Linked DNA regions of Caenorhabditis elegans. The protein of the gene in region 1 interacts with the protein of each later gene in a pairwise test. Each region holds a gene or a part of one and is shown on either strand. Other genes may lie near its edges.

What was found.
Region 2: the proteins of hlh-3 (region 1) and hlh-2 interact in a two-hybrid assay, tested with the Caenorhabditis elegans proteins (2 studies listed by BioGRID).

The regions. Positions count from the first base shown.
Region 1 is NC_003280.10:9,082,934-9,090,777, reverse strand, and holds hlh-3 (Helix-loop-helix protein 3), read right to left. Parts: upstream 4,171-7,844; 5' UTR 4,168-4,170; coding exon 3,973-4,167; intron 3,482-3,972; coding exon 3,164-3,481; 3' UTR 2,870-3,163; downstream 1-2,869. Other genes in the region: sysm-1 (ShKT domain-containing protein), read left to right, coding at 7,647-7,768, 7,820-7,844. UniProt on the Caenorhabditis elegans protein: Probable transcriptional regulator. May mediate transcriptional activation by binding to the E-box motif 5'-CANNTG-3'. Plays a role in the differentiation of the hermaphrodite-specific motor neurons (HSN) that are required for normal egg laying.
Region 2 is NC_003279.8:7,188,260-7,195,718, forward strand, and holds hlh-2 (Helix-loop-helix protein hlh-2), read right to left. Parts: upstream 5,662-7,459; 5' UTR 5,649-5,661; coding exon 5,504-5,648; intron 5,154-5,503; coding exon 4,666-5,153; intron 3,827-4,665; coding exon 3,525-3,826; intron 3,413-3,524; coding exon 3,271-3,412; intron 3,104-3,270; coding exon 2,981-3,103; 3' UTR 2,529-2,980; downstream 1-2,528. Other genes in the region: plag-15 (PhosphoLipase A2 Group), read left to right, coding at 280-394, 683-842, 894-1,111, 1,321-1,463, 1,512-1,660, 1,763-2,231. UniProt on the Caenorhabditis elegans protein: Transcription factor which binds the E box motif 5'-CA[TC][AG]TG-3'. Plays a key role in the anchor cell/ventral uterine precursor cell (AC/VU) decision; required for VU fate.

The DNA.
Region 1 (7,844 bases):
TTTGATCTTTTAGTCATATCTCTATAATTATTAAGGATATTTCCTAATTATAACTGCTATGCTACATGATTTATATTCCCGCTTTTTCATACGAGAAGAAAAGGATTTTATGTTCTTTCCCCCTTCCTAATTCTTTTGACCTGTCTCTCTCTCTATCTCCTAATGAAATGGTAATAAACAGTGCTCCGTTGTCTGCGAATATTCGTGTGTTTTTACCCAATCTATTCACTCCTCGCGAACCAGAAAAACTTTGTCCATCGACGATACCATTGCTATTATATTTTTTTGTCTCTCTTTTCATACTCACACCTGCAACGGAAAGTGCGACAATTCGAAACTAGCAATTAGACAGAAACAATAGATAATGAACTTATTGTAACGGTTGAAAGGAGACTGATCACTTGAGGTTCCATGTATTGTTGTCGATAGGTGATTGTGATGAGTCGAGTGGATGCTGTAATTATAGATGTTGGTCCAATAGTATATGGTCAAGTTGTTCAGACGCAACAAGTCAAATACAATAATTATGTCGTTTGTCCAGCAATTACAAGAATATATTTTTACAAAACTACTCGAAGATCGAGAAACTTAAAAATAGAGAACATATGTACAAATTCATCGGTAGTAATTACTCATTGGTAGTAAGTAAAAATATAATCGTTTAAACGTTCCATTCATAAATTTTCATAAAAGTTATTTGGAGATGGCCAGTTATCTTATGTGGGTCCTAACTAGAATAAATTACATGACAAAAATCCGGGCAATAAGATTTTGCAGTTATAGTCATCACCCCTCCCAGTCAAAAGCTAGGTCCTTGTAAAAGTTTTACGAATATCCTACCGTATATTCATACAAAAACAACAAAAATATTTTGGACACCCGTGTACGACCTTGCTTACCCCTAATTCCTCTCAAAACATACACATATAAACATCTCCGAGACCTTTTCCTTTTCCCCACTTCCCTTTCAAAATTACACCCTTCACTGAGCTCTTTCCCTCCGGTAAATCCCGAAATCCGCCTAGAGGAGTCCGGTAATTGGTGTTGTGCAACGATTTTCCGGGGGTTCCTAATGTGGGCCTTCATCATACTGTCTGAAGCTGGGAGGTAAGCACATGTGTGGACATGAGCATACAATACGGTATGCACCTGCTATTTGATTAATTCATGCGAGATGCGGGGACGGTGAAGGGCTATGGGAGGAGAAGATGTAGCAAAGATTTGAAAATTACTCTACATTCATGTATTCATTGATTCTTCGCATGCTCACAGATGGTATATGAAAAGGTTTTCTGGATGAAAAAGTTATGAAACTAGAATAAGTAAAAACTGGGATTGCTTAAAAGTTATAAAACAATTTTTTAGCTTTGTTATTTTTTTAATAACTCATTAAAATTCAAGATAAATGTTTTCCGTACGCTTATCTGAAAAAAATGTTGTGTCGCATATCATAATATCTCAAACTGAATGAGCAGAAAAAGCCCAAGACTTAATTTTTAGAATTTTTCCGTTGCAGATTTCATATCTACTTCATATTGGAACTCTGAATACTATAATGCAAAATTCTGAAAGATCGGATGGTTCCACATGATCCCAATATGCGTTAAATAACTGAGTAAAGCCGAAGATTTCCGTTTCAGTTCGAGACAGAAATGCTTTAAAACTTTTATACTATTTGCCACGTCATTCTCCTTACAATAACATGATTCGTAATCCTTTCACATTGCGAAACACGATCCATGACGCAAGTGAAGGATTACATATACTTGTTACGGAAGGCTATCAATTCATGATGATCCCTTCAGCTCCTCTTCAAAATTGACACCTGTAGACATGGTATATCCTCCCTCTTCAACTGTTTTTTTTTCTGTGATGCCTATTCAAATGCGATTCGTCAAATGTCTAAATCTCCCCTCTTTACTTTATATTCCTGCTTGAATAATGAGCATGTTCGAGTGCCCTTTTTTGCGGGTGTCAATTAGAATTCACCCATGGGCATGGACACAAGAAAAAACACGGCAAAAAAACGGAAAAAAACACACACCCGTAGTGGTCAGAAATGGGGAAAACGAAGCGAAAAGAAGAGTGAGTGAGAGCCCATTTCGATTTGCATTTGATCGAGTATTCTTCGTCTATTCTTCTTCCCCTAGTGACCCACATTTTAGAGCAGCCCTTTTTTGTTGGAAAACCCCAGAAAAAAGGTCAAGTTGTCTAGGAAGAAGGGGTGTAAATGGAGACAGTTTTATTGTGGGCAATGATGCCGCCGTAAAAGACAAAAGAATAAACGGGTGGGATTACGTTGCATAAAAGGCCCGACATGCAACAAAAAAGAAGTGCAAAGAAGTCTTCCCAGAAGATGAAGTAAACATATTAATGGTATTCCTGGCTAATATAGACAATGAGAACGGAAATGTCACTGTACTTTTGACATGGGAAATACTGAAAGACAACATTTGTTAACTGATTGAAGATCTTATCAAAATGTGAAATTGGGGCAACCTTTTTTCAAGACTTTTGAGAGTTTTTAAATTATTAAAAAAAAAGGAAATTATTTTAACTTGCAAAAACAAGGAGCTGGTGCACAAGAAACCTATGTTCTAGGAATTCTTTTTCTTTAATTCTGCCTCTCTATTAAATATACATATTTTTTTTAGATATCATACATTTAAACCTATAGACAATATTCGAATATGGACCTTCTCGGAGTTTAATGGTGATTTCCTGGCGAATTATCAAGTAGGCTGGTGGCAGATAGGTACCACACTCTACCAAAAAATGTCAAACGTCATAGTTTTCCTTTTTTTGGTTGCCATCAGTTAGTTACCAAAATGTTCGAATTGTTAAAAGTATCACTAAATGTGAAAGATATTTATTGCACAGATTGAGCAGAATAATTTAGATAAACAACTGTTTTGAGATCAAAAAAACTATCGTACAATAAATAATGAAAATCAAATTTAATCTAGACGTAAAAAACAATCAAAGATAGTTAATAAGTAAGTATTTATGGCTATTATCAGAGTTTTTGAAATGAAATATACTGAGCACCTACTCAACTGAAATTGTTTCAATTAAACCTTATCAAGTACACATAGGAAACGGTAAAGGAATTGGATCACCCGATTATTTGAGAAAAACAGAAAATATGGTACAACTTAACAGATTAATAAGTTTCTGTATGCGAATAAAAGCTATGATGATCACCAGAAGTGGATGCAGAAGATGATGAGCTTTCTTGATAATAGTGAGATGACATATCATGCTGATTAGAGGACATCATTTGTGGTGGTGGATAGTATGGAGAGGTGTAGCTTGGCGATGGAGTCTGTGCCATCATTGAGCAAACAGATTGGGGATATACGGGAGACTGTTCTGGAGTTGGAAAGTCAGCTGGCATCGAATTATGGAAACTTGTGGAAGACATTCCGAGTTGCTTCTGCAGTTCTTGAATGTAACGGGCGGCTTCACGAAGGGTTTCGACCTGAAATTTTAGAAATAAATTATAATCTTAAATAAATCTATTCATAATTTTCTACTGCAAATATGATTTGGATATTTAATTTTGGTTTTCTAATTGATAAATGAAACCCTAATATACATTTTTCTAAGTTACAGAGCTGAATAATTTTTGTTATAGTCTTTTAAGCACGAAAGGATTAGTGCGAACAATTTGTTTCAAAAAGCATTGCGCTGGAGCTTCTGAATATTTTTAGTAAATAACGAAAAAAAGCTAGGCTGAAATAATTTTACATGAAATAATCAAGTTGGCAGCTTATTCTAAAACATTGCATAATCTTTGATATTAGCCTATATACGAGAACATTTTGCCAATTGGTTTTCTAAATAATATATTTCAATTTTTCACAAAACATAATCAAAACCCTATAATCAAACCGCAAATTTCTCCTTTAGGCAAATCAAATTTACAATTTGCTTCACGTTTTCTCCCAAACACCACAAAACTACTCTCACCTTTGACAACTTTGCCTTGTTTCCAGCAGCTTTTGGTACTCTTTCTTGCAATAGAACAAATCCCTGATTGACTTGATCAACACGTTTTCGTTCACGTTCATTACGCTTTTGCTTCGTCTGCTTCGTTACTGAAGACTTACTTGACGACGGAATTTTGGTGGATGTAGATGGAGTTGAGGAGGTGGATGCGGTCATATTCTGCAAATACAGTTGAAAAATTTAATTTGAAATTTTAAAGGAAAAGGAAATAAGAGTACATTTTAAGTTTAATTTTTATACAAACAGCGTTAAGAGAGACTTTCTAGAACGAAAAAGAATAAAGAAAAGGAGATTAAGAACTATGGAAAAATGCAAGAACATTAAATGATCAACCATAAACTCGAAAAATAAATAAAAAATTCAAAAAAGAGGAATGAAAACGAGAAATGACCCACCACATCACGAAGGGGAAGACACAACACGAATGCGCGGAAAAGTGGGCGGGGTCGGGAAGGGCAACCAAATAAGGGAGGGCTGAGTTGGGGGAGAGACGAAGGGTGGGAATATTGATGTGAACATATATAGTTTGCAATCAATTAATTAATGTTGTATTATGATCTACCAAAAAGTTTCAGTCTACATTTATTGATGTGATTGCAATTCTGTCACCATGTTAATAAAAAATAAAAACAGGAGTGCTAAATACTCTAGATTTTAAATTAAGAAAAAAATCACTAAATCAAGTTTTCATCTACCATGGATGGACTGAACTTTTCAGATTGTCTTTGTTGTACCATGGCGCCAGAACGATCGCTCTGCGAATACTGTAATACTGTAGTAATGTCTTCCATGTTTCTATAACTTTCCTTGGATTTTCCATTGAAACGTGTATAAAGTAAAAAAAAATTCTGGAGACCAACAGCAGCCTTTCAGGAGCTTGAGTTCAGAAATATTTTCAGTATCTAAAATGTGGCCGGTTCTTGTTTTGTGTGCAAATTTTTTAAAATCAGCTGAAATTGAAAATTTCTTCTGATCGTAAAATAAGTAAAATAAGCGATGGCTTCACTGTTAGAGAAACACGGAGAGAACATGTCGTTCTGAAGCATTGCACTTTCTCAAATTCCCATTTCATATGTTTAATGAATTTCCAATACAAATATCATTTAGTGCAATAGTTGATTATCCATAAAACTGCGGCCTAATGAGATTGAATGAGGGGTGCTAACCGTCGATCACATTTTATGGTTTTGTTTCTGCCCTATTTGAATTTTCATGTAAAACGCACTGCGACACTAGAGGAAAAGACCGGAGAGTGCAGGAAAAGCCGCTTTGAATGTCAATTATCCGGCATCCTAATGATACTGTTATTGACTAGTGCTTTTTGCCGGCTCACGCTCACTTGAGCCCTTGAGCTCTTCTTTTTTACTGGCAGCCGACTCAGGAAATGAACAGAGCTTCCAAGAAAAATGAGAACAATGAGAGATTAGTGCTCTTTTTATGGTACCGACTTTCTAAAAACAGTTATGAGACAATACATTTCCTAAGAAGAGTGAAATTGAAACTATCTAAATTTTGAAATTACAGTCAGGATCAAGGGTGTCAATTCCCGTTTCCCGTTTTTCCCGTTGTCCCGTTTTTGGGGTGTTTTCACGGGAACGGGAATTCCCGTTGTCCCGTTTTAAAAATTTTCACGGGAACTGGACATTTTCCCTCATTTTTTGGCTTTTTAAATATCTGTTTAATATTGAAAAAATCGATAAAAATGTTTATAATGCAGTTTTTTTTATAATTTGCCTCGAATACACTAAAATTTACGCCAACTATGCACTCTTTTTTTTTAAACCGCCCAGTTTGTCCCGTTTTTGAGTGTTTTCAAAAAAACGGGAATTCCCGTTGTCCCGTTTTTGAAATTTTCACGGGAACGGGAATTCCCGTTTTCCCGTTTTTAAAATTTTCACGGGAACGGGAATTCCCGTTGTCCCGTTTTCGAAATTTTTACGGGACATTGACACCCTTGGTCAGGATATAACCTAGTTGAAACCACCTTAAAAGAGTTTTGTTACATTGAATGGATACTGAAAGCAATAGGATACACATGATCTTTTTAAGACCGAATCTTAAAGATCGGCTGCCAAAACCTACAGTTAATCCGTTTGACATAAAACAAAAGAATTTAAAAAAAAACTGTAGATATTAGGAAATAGAGTGACCCACTGGCCTTGGTACCAGTCCGTACATCTTCTTTCAAATGTATGTTTTATGTGTTTAAAAATTGATTATCTCTGACACCTTCTTGCGGCGGCACGTATCCCGCTGTGCTCGAAGTGTGTGAAATATTGAATAAATTGAAAAGACTTAGACAGTTCCGATGGGTTCTTCAAACGACCTCTCTATCATTATTTTGAATTCGATTTCAATTTATTTCAATTGAATTCGATTCAATTTTGAAAAACGTACGGGCGAAAAATTGCAAAAATTAAGGATCCAGGTCCAAGTGAAATATTATATCCCACAGTCAAACAATGACATGTTGTAACCTCAATATTTTGATACATCACCAGACACGGTTATGGGAACGCAGAGGTGGCAATTTCAGGGACGATATGTTGGAGCAATCGATAGAAAAGAATGGTGGGAAACTGGAATGGTGAAGGTATTGGAAGGGAATGTGTATGTGAATCTTGGAACATGTCTACCAAAAGGCGATCAGTCTTTCATTCAATATTTCATATCCAAAATACGACTTGTAGTCCATAGTTGAGTTGCGACCTTAACAGTATCGCTTTACAATTAGGAGACCCAAAAATGGTTTCTACCACTAAAACAGCAGACAAATAAACTTAACTTGAAAGCGTGTTCAAACTTCTACTTAAGAAGGATTAGTGCCTAATTAGTGATTGATGATTGACTAACAATTGTGAGTCCCGCAAAGTTGACCTAACCTTATACTTGACTCTCTTCTGTGCAAATACAGAAAACTACTGATGTGCTTTGCAAATTTGAATGGAATAATAATAAATTTCTAATGAGAGGGAGTTGGGTACGACGATGAGATCTTAAAATAATGCTTTTAAATTGTTTTCATACTTTTAAAAGAATTTGAAAAAAATCAGAATAGTCAAAATAATGGTTTCTATCATGTAGGCAGTACAATGAGCGAATTAGGATTCAAATGTTCTCGTGAGCTGTCCATATGCTACATCCGGCTGCCTATTCAGGCAGGTAGCAATGATTTTTCAAAACTAATTAATTTATTAACCCCTTGAATGCTTCTGGTTTGTTACAATTGTTATGGAATTGATTTAAATTAATATTTTAAAAAAATTAGTTACGATTTTTGGAGCAGAGAGACATATTTTACTTGAACGACTCCAAAAAAACAATCAAAAAGGTAGAGCTCCATCTTTCCAAATCATAATAGTTTTACTTCATTTTTAGATTTTCAAATTATCAAATTATCAAATATCAGAAATTTGTCACTTCAATTGTTCTAAACTTTACCCTTGACGTAGTTTTATAGAAATCTTGCCATCTTGCCGATCTTTGACATTTAAAAGCACGATGCACTCCGAATGTCAATGAAATACGGTGATATCATGAGTCTACACCCACATTGACTCTTTGATCTTTTCCAGATTAATTGATAAGAACTCCTCATATAAACTTGACTCAGTTATCATTTATGTATCACCAAAATGCGTTATCTCATCGGATTTGTGATTGTGCTTGTAGCTTACACTGCTTCAGAGTCGTGTGTCGACTCAAGACCATCATGCCCTTCACTCAAAAATTACTGTAACGAAGCAGATGTTAGAAGGTAAGGCACATACTTAGAATTGTTCGGATGAAAATGTTGTTTTCTTTTCAGTGGTTGTCGTAAAACCTGTGGTGTC
Region 2 (7,459 bases), on another chromosome or scaffold:
ATCGTAAATATTTTATTGTTGTATAATAAATCGCAGTTCTCTACTTGTATGTCAGTAATATCCCAGATTCACCTTCTCACCTTCACCCTTGTCTACTCTGAAGATATGACCATGTGATGAACATTTGCGACTTTGATTTATTGATGTGTCTCTATAGAGAACAAGGTGTTGAGAAGAGACGCAAAGAAAACGACTGAAAAAGAAGAAAAAGGGTTGGAGGGAGAAGATTGAGCTCATAGTGGAGCCTCCATCATCATACCCGACTGGTCAGTTCAACAGATGCGGGATATCCTGGTTTCTTTGTGTATTTTCTTGGTTTTAATTGGAAAAAGTGACACGAAATGGTTTGGAAAGTTTGGCAGATCACAAGCGAAAGGACTTCCGGTGATTCTCGGTGAGCTTTTGTTTTATTTGATTTCTTAACTTTAAATCTTTCAAGTCGTTCGGTCGGTCTACTGTAATTATATTTCTTTATTTTAAATTTTAAATTTTATATTTTTGAATTACATCCACAATTGTTCAAGTTCTCAGTTCTGATGTTTTATTTGATCAGAATTGAAAAGATATCTAGTACTTTCTAATACGAGTTCTAAAAAGTTTCATACATTCCAAATTAGTTTTAGTCCGTTTTTAGCAAATTGGAATTTAAAAAATCGCAATAAATATATTGTATAGTTTTCAGTGCCTGGTGATGGAGGCAGCCAGCTGGAATCAAATCTAACGGGTAAACCATCAGTTGTGCATTATGTTTGCTCCAAGCAGACAGCCGATTATTTTGATCTTTGGCTTAATCTACAACTTTTCACACCTTTGGTTATTGATTGTTGGGCTGATAACATGCAGTAAGTTTCATTATTTCCAGAGCAAAGAAAATCAATTTAATAACATTTCAGATTAGTGTTCAACACAACCACAGGATTGTCTGAAAACATGCCAGGAGTTGACATTAGAGTTGCTGGATTTGGAGCAACTGAAAGTGTTGAATGGTTGGATAAGAGTAAAGCATCACAGGGAAGATACTTCTTTGATATCGTTGATTCGATGGTTTCATGGGGTTATCGAAGAGGAAAAAATGTCATTGGAGCACCTTTTGATTGGAGAAAATCCCCAAGTGAGTTGAGCCTTCAGAATTAAGAGAATACATAGGTTCATTTGTTTCTCATAGAAATTGACATTTTCTGGTTTATACCCGCGCTAAAAGTCCGCGTACCGTTTGCGCCAACTTTCCAATTGCGAACTTGCTCACAAAGATCAGCAAAACCGTTTTTTTGCACTCCGAATTACCAAACCAACTTTGTATTTAATTCTAAACAATTTCAGATGAATTAAACGATTATCTCATTCAACTGAAGTCCTTAATTGAAACCACATATCGCTGGAATGACAATCAAAAGATCGTACTCGTCGGTCACAGTATGGGTAATCCCCTTTCTTTGTATTTCTTGAATAATTATGTGGATCAGGTGAGATAATTGAAAGGTGTTAGATGAAATAACACTTATTGTTTCCAGGCTTGGAAAGACAAATACATATCGAGTTTTGTTAGTTTGGCGGCTCCATGGGCTGGATCAATGCAAATTGTTCGATTATTTGCATCTGGATATAATATGAATTATTATAGAGTTATTCTACCACCGAGTAGCTTGAGAGCAATGCAAAGGTAAGCACTTTGAGGTGTTTGGAAACTTAAAAGTGAAATATTTACTCTTATGGTGCTAAGACTACCAAATTATGTTTTTCTTCAACTTATTTGGTTCTTCAGATCATTCTCCTCTTCGGCCTTTCTGTTTCCAAGTCCAGTTGCATGGAAACCACATGAAATATTAGCGACAACTGCTGACAAAAACTACACTGTTGGAAATATTAAAGAATTCTTTCAAGACATTAATTACATGGTTGGATGGGAACAATACAAACAGGCCGCCCGTCTGAATGGAAATTTAAGTTCTCCAGGAGTTCCAGTTCATTGTATTTATGGAACAGGAGTCCCCACACCGGAAAAGTTTTCATGGGCTCCCGGATACTTTCCAGATTATCCACCAACTGAATTCATGGGTGATGGAGACGGGACAGTGAACAAAAAATCAGCTACAGTGTGCACTAATTGGATTGGAAATAATAATGGTTATAAGGTTACTGTACACGAAGTATTTCAAGCTGATCACATGGCAATTCTTAAACATCCAAATGCAATTGAACTTGTCCGAAAAGCCATTTTCCAGTTAATTTGAGTGATGCAAAAAGGGTTCTGAATTTTAAAATTTTGTTTGTTTTGATCAAGGTGAATGAATTATGTTTGTATCACATTTTTTCCCGTTGTTGACATTTTATACATCCAATATTCCTATACATCAGTTTTGACAGACCATGAAAAAAACATCTCGTTTCAACGACTTAGAAAGTCAAACTAAATGTCTAATTATAAATGGGAATCCCTTTCAACATAAAGTGGAATCCATACTGCGAAGGACATTAGCACTTCATCGGAGCTTGGATAATTAAAGTGTTGAAACAGTTACCCAATAGAGTAATTCATGTGTGAAATTAGTTGGCGGTGTCTTTTTTTTTGAGTGGACCATTTCATTTCAAGTAGATACTAATTAGCTATGGTTTATCACATACACACACACAAAAAATAAGACAAGTTGGAAGAAGTTGATTGAATGAATGAATAATATGAAAGTTAATTTTAATACTTGAAATATTAGAATTAGCTATTGATTGATTTAAATTTAGAGGAGAAAATAAATTAAAAACATACAGAAAATTGTGATGATCTTGTAATAAAGTTTAAAATTTTTAAAACTGAAAACTGATTGAAGTTGAGAAATCACAGGACCTCCAATCCGGAGGGAGATGAAGGGGAACATTTGAATAGTTTGAACAAAAAAACAATATGCTAGAGAGTTTTAGCCGTATGGATGATTGGGAGAAGATTGGGAATGATAGTTTGAAATGCTTAAAAAGTCAATTTTTAAATTTAAAACCGTGGATGTCCAAACTGCGCGGATGGTGCATTGTCATCAAGCATCTTCATTTTATCATCATCAGGTTTCCTTTTCATTCCAGCCATCACTTTTGGATTCATATTTCGTTGACGAACCTGTAAAATTATAAATTTCAACTTGTTCAGTGTTTTGTTTAAATTTTTCGAATAAATTCCATCGCAATGTTATGTGCTTCAAAGTCAAAAATACAGCAGTCGAACAATTGCCAATTAATTTTGTTCACAATTTGAATGTTTCTTTAAAATATGAAAAATTATCTAACCTGTTCTTCCAATTGTGTAATCACAGATACTGCATTGTGTAGAATTCCCAATTTTGTTTGATTCCGTTCTGTATTCTGATTGTGCTGTGTGCACATTCGTCCGAGCTCTTTGAATGCCGAATTGATGTCACGAACTCGTACTCTGTAAGTTTTTTGTATTAGATTAGATTTGGAGATATCTCGATTAAATTACTATGTAATTGTCAATTTCCAATGTTCAATTCAAAACGTCTTAAAAGTAAAAAACTCCTCACCTTTCTCGAGCATTATTCTGTGATCTCCTATCCGTATCTTTGTCATCACTCATTGATTCATTATCAGAAAGCCTTGAAGACGATGAATGGCGAGTTGGAATTCCAGAAGATGGAGGGCCTTGTACCCGACGACGGCTCGTTGCTCTTGATGCAGACTTATCATTTCGAACAGATGATGCACTTGATCCTGGTGGCATTCCGGTCATTCCTGGATATCCATTTGGATCAAAGTGTGGGCTCATACCGGCTGGTGGGAATTGATGATTGTAGTCAACCAAGTTGGTATCTCCACCAAGACCATTCTGCAATATTTCATTGTTTTTGGTTTTATAATTTCTATAACCCTCATCTAAAACTACTCAACTTTTTCTCTCAATGAAACAAAACAAAGAATTAATTTCATTTGCCTTGCTAGTCAGTTAATTCTCTCAAATGGTACTATTGGGGGCCGAGTCAAATCAATCGATCTCTTTAATGTACTGAACCCCGCAATGTGACCGTCTCTGTTCACCACTTAATCATGCGGCGACGTCGGTCAATAGCCCCCTTCGGTTTTCGAGGACACCATCAGAAAATGTGACCGGCTATTGGGTAACAATGCAAAAAGCAAGAGCTTCAAATTTTGGCCAATTTAGTTATTCACTAGTCAGAGGTTGGATACAGGGATTTTACCATATTATTCTAGATTTCTCAAGACTGGAACGCAAAAAAATGTCATCAGGGTCTCAAAACTTTGTTCACGACAACAGTAGTTCAGAATCTTAATGTTTAGTATTGTCATATGGCAAAAATTATTTTAAAGAAAACTGAAAGAATCTCAAAAATTTCCTCCAACAAAAAAAGCGATAAACTTTGCCTAATTATGTAACTAATCCATCTTTTCTGTATGTTTCTCCTTGTTTTATGTTTACATTAGTGACTTTTTTGGAGGTCGTTTAGTGCGCACAGGGTGTTCTTCTCAAGAAGATGCCGCCTTTTGCATGCATCTCAATCTTCAGAAGGCGGCGGCTCACATCAAAAGGAAGCGGATTATGCATACGTGAATGCTTGGCGGCTGAGGAGGGCCAAGCAATCATTCGTCGAGATTAACTTGTGGTAAAACAGTAAAACACGAATAAAACCAAGAAGAATAGAAACGTACCGGCTGTCCAGCAAGTTGCTGCTGATACGATGAGAAGTCGGCAACTGATGGATCAGCACCAAATGTATATGTTGGAGGGATTGAGATGTATGGATTAACAGCTTCACTTGCTTTGTTATCTTCTGAAGGTGGAAGGTAACCTGGATATGTTTGTGGCCATGTATACATTGATGACATTGCGTCAATTGGTGCGGTAAGATTAGTAAGAGGCTGTGGAGCAACAATCGCTGATGTTTCTGCAGAATTCGTGGCTGGAGCTGTTGTTGGCTTTAACTCAAGCACATCAGTAGTTGAAGTTGGAGCTGGAGCAGTAGATGGAGCCGTCGTTGAAGTGGATGATGTTGCATGAATTGGCTTAATATCAGATGTTGCAGAAGTTGGAGCAGCTACGGAAGCAGGGGTTTCAGTTGGTGGATGTGTTGGAAGGAAGGCTGATGAATAATCAATATCCGTTGTTTGCATCGGAGGATACGGGTTGAGATGGTATCCTGAAAATGTTTATTTAGATGACTTGCACTTGAGAAATGAGATATAAACATTTTGGTTAATAAACTACTTACTAGAGCAAACCAGATTTTTACAAAATTTTAGAACATTAAAAGAGTTATACATTTTGTTTCAACTTAAAGTAAATTTTAAAAATTTGCGAGCTTATAAAATCAACAATTCAACAATTCGAGATAAGTAATACCAAACTTATATCCTTTTTCTGCAATTTATCCAATATTTCTAACTGATTACAAGCGACTTTTAACAAATTCACGAAAACATGTTTGGTTTGGTTTACCAAATGATATAATTGAAATTATAATAGATTTCAAATGAAAAAAAGACTAACCACTCCAATAATCAGGCATCTGAATCGTTGTCGGATCAATATTATAAGGATAATCATATGCATTTGGAAGCATAACCTGTGGTTGAGCAATGGCGGCAGTTGCAACAGTTGTGGCTGACGTAAGTTGGCTATTTGGATCCGCCATTGAGGTTCTGAAAACTTTATTTCTGCGAAATGATATGAAAGACGATTATAGTAGTAATGTCAAAGAAATAAAGTCAGCGGAGAAGCGGGGAGAGGAAAGGGAATAAGTAGGGAATTGGGCTGGAGCAGCAGGTGAAAAAATTAGGTTAGTAAATATATTCTGATTAGATTTTCGTCAAGACAACCCCATTTGAAGAAATATTGAGAATAAGAAAAAGAAGAAAATAATCGATTCTCCTCGTTTGGTTAAATAGGCAAACGAGATCAAAAGAGGCAAGGTAGATCAATAAAGAATAATAATTGTGACGTCACAATAGATCTACTAAGTTCCGGTATAAATTATTAGGAGCAAGTTACTTGAAGGAGAACAATTTGTAGGGAGGTAATGATGTTGAGATGGTATCAAGAAATAGTTGTAAATGTAGATGTCATTGTAGATGATTATCGGATGGATGACATCCCGAAAGAGCAATAAAATAACAGTAAAGGGGTGATGGATCAAAGGGTTTCAGGCCCATCTAAATAATTAGTTTAAATTCAGACGTAGGATAAGATATATATGAAAGCTTTAAACGTGAGCTAGTAACATTTCGGATGCAAATATACATTTTTTGATAAACTCAATAATTGAAAAAAAAACTGCCCTACAATACATTTGCGTTCTTGTTTAAATTCAAAATTGGTAAGGATTCGTAAACATTGTAGGAGTGAGAAAAAGTAATGCAGATCAAAATTATTTGGTAAAAGATCCAAAATTGAAAATTGGGAGGAGAGAAATTTTAATTTTCAAAATCAGAAGATGGGATACATTATGTATTTCATTCAAAATATGTGCTATGTTTTATTACAGTAAGATCATGAACTTGAAAAGCTAGTAAACGGAACAGATTTAGACACAAAAAAAGACGAAAAGAGTGCACTCCCCCCTTCTTAGCGGCTATGCGGGTGGCTAGGAATGGTTCTTCGAGGGTGGTGGTAGTGGAGGGACGCGTATAAAAGCCCATTCAAGGGACATAAACAGTATATTGGTGTACATAGACGCAGACATTCTTTCTCCCGGGGACCGTCTACATCCAAGAGACGCAGAGACGATGATCGGGAGAGGTCACGCCCACAACCATCTCTCTCTACCTCCTGCAGCACACAATCCTCTATTATCCCGGGGTCCTCCATCTCTTCTCCCACCATTCATTCACCAGTCTTTTTTGGGTGAAATGAGAGGAAAATGGGGGAAGGATTGAATGAATAAGGGGATTGAATGAATAGAAGAGGTCAGCTCTCTTGGGGGAAAATGTCGCCACCCGACTGTAGGGAGTACATTCATTTTTGAAGCATGTTATTAGAGTTTTGTAGGGATCTCTGAAATTTTAATTCTTCAGAATATGGTAAGAGTGAGAGAAAGAGTGTGCACAGGAAAGGGGTATATTTTATTAGAATAAAGTTACTCATATTCACAACAGAAGTTTCAGCAATCACAATACTGTGGGACTACTCGAGTCTTCAAATATCTTGAGCCATATCCTAAAATTGTCTCTCTGTGGTAATAAACCAACAATTATAAAAAGAAATGATACTTCCAATGCCCGTCTCTAAAGTGCATTTTTTGACAGATGTTGTCAAAAGTATACGGTACTGGAACTTTTTTCTCGAGAGTATTTGGGGAGGTGTCTATTGTGGGACGGAGTGCAGCTGTCATCAAATTCAAGTGCTCAATGGTTTGGTTAGAAAAAGTTAGAAATACGGTAATAATGACGAATTTGTTCTACAAATATGATTAACTAAATGGTGATACTTATTTGAGAATGTTGAAAA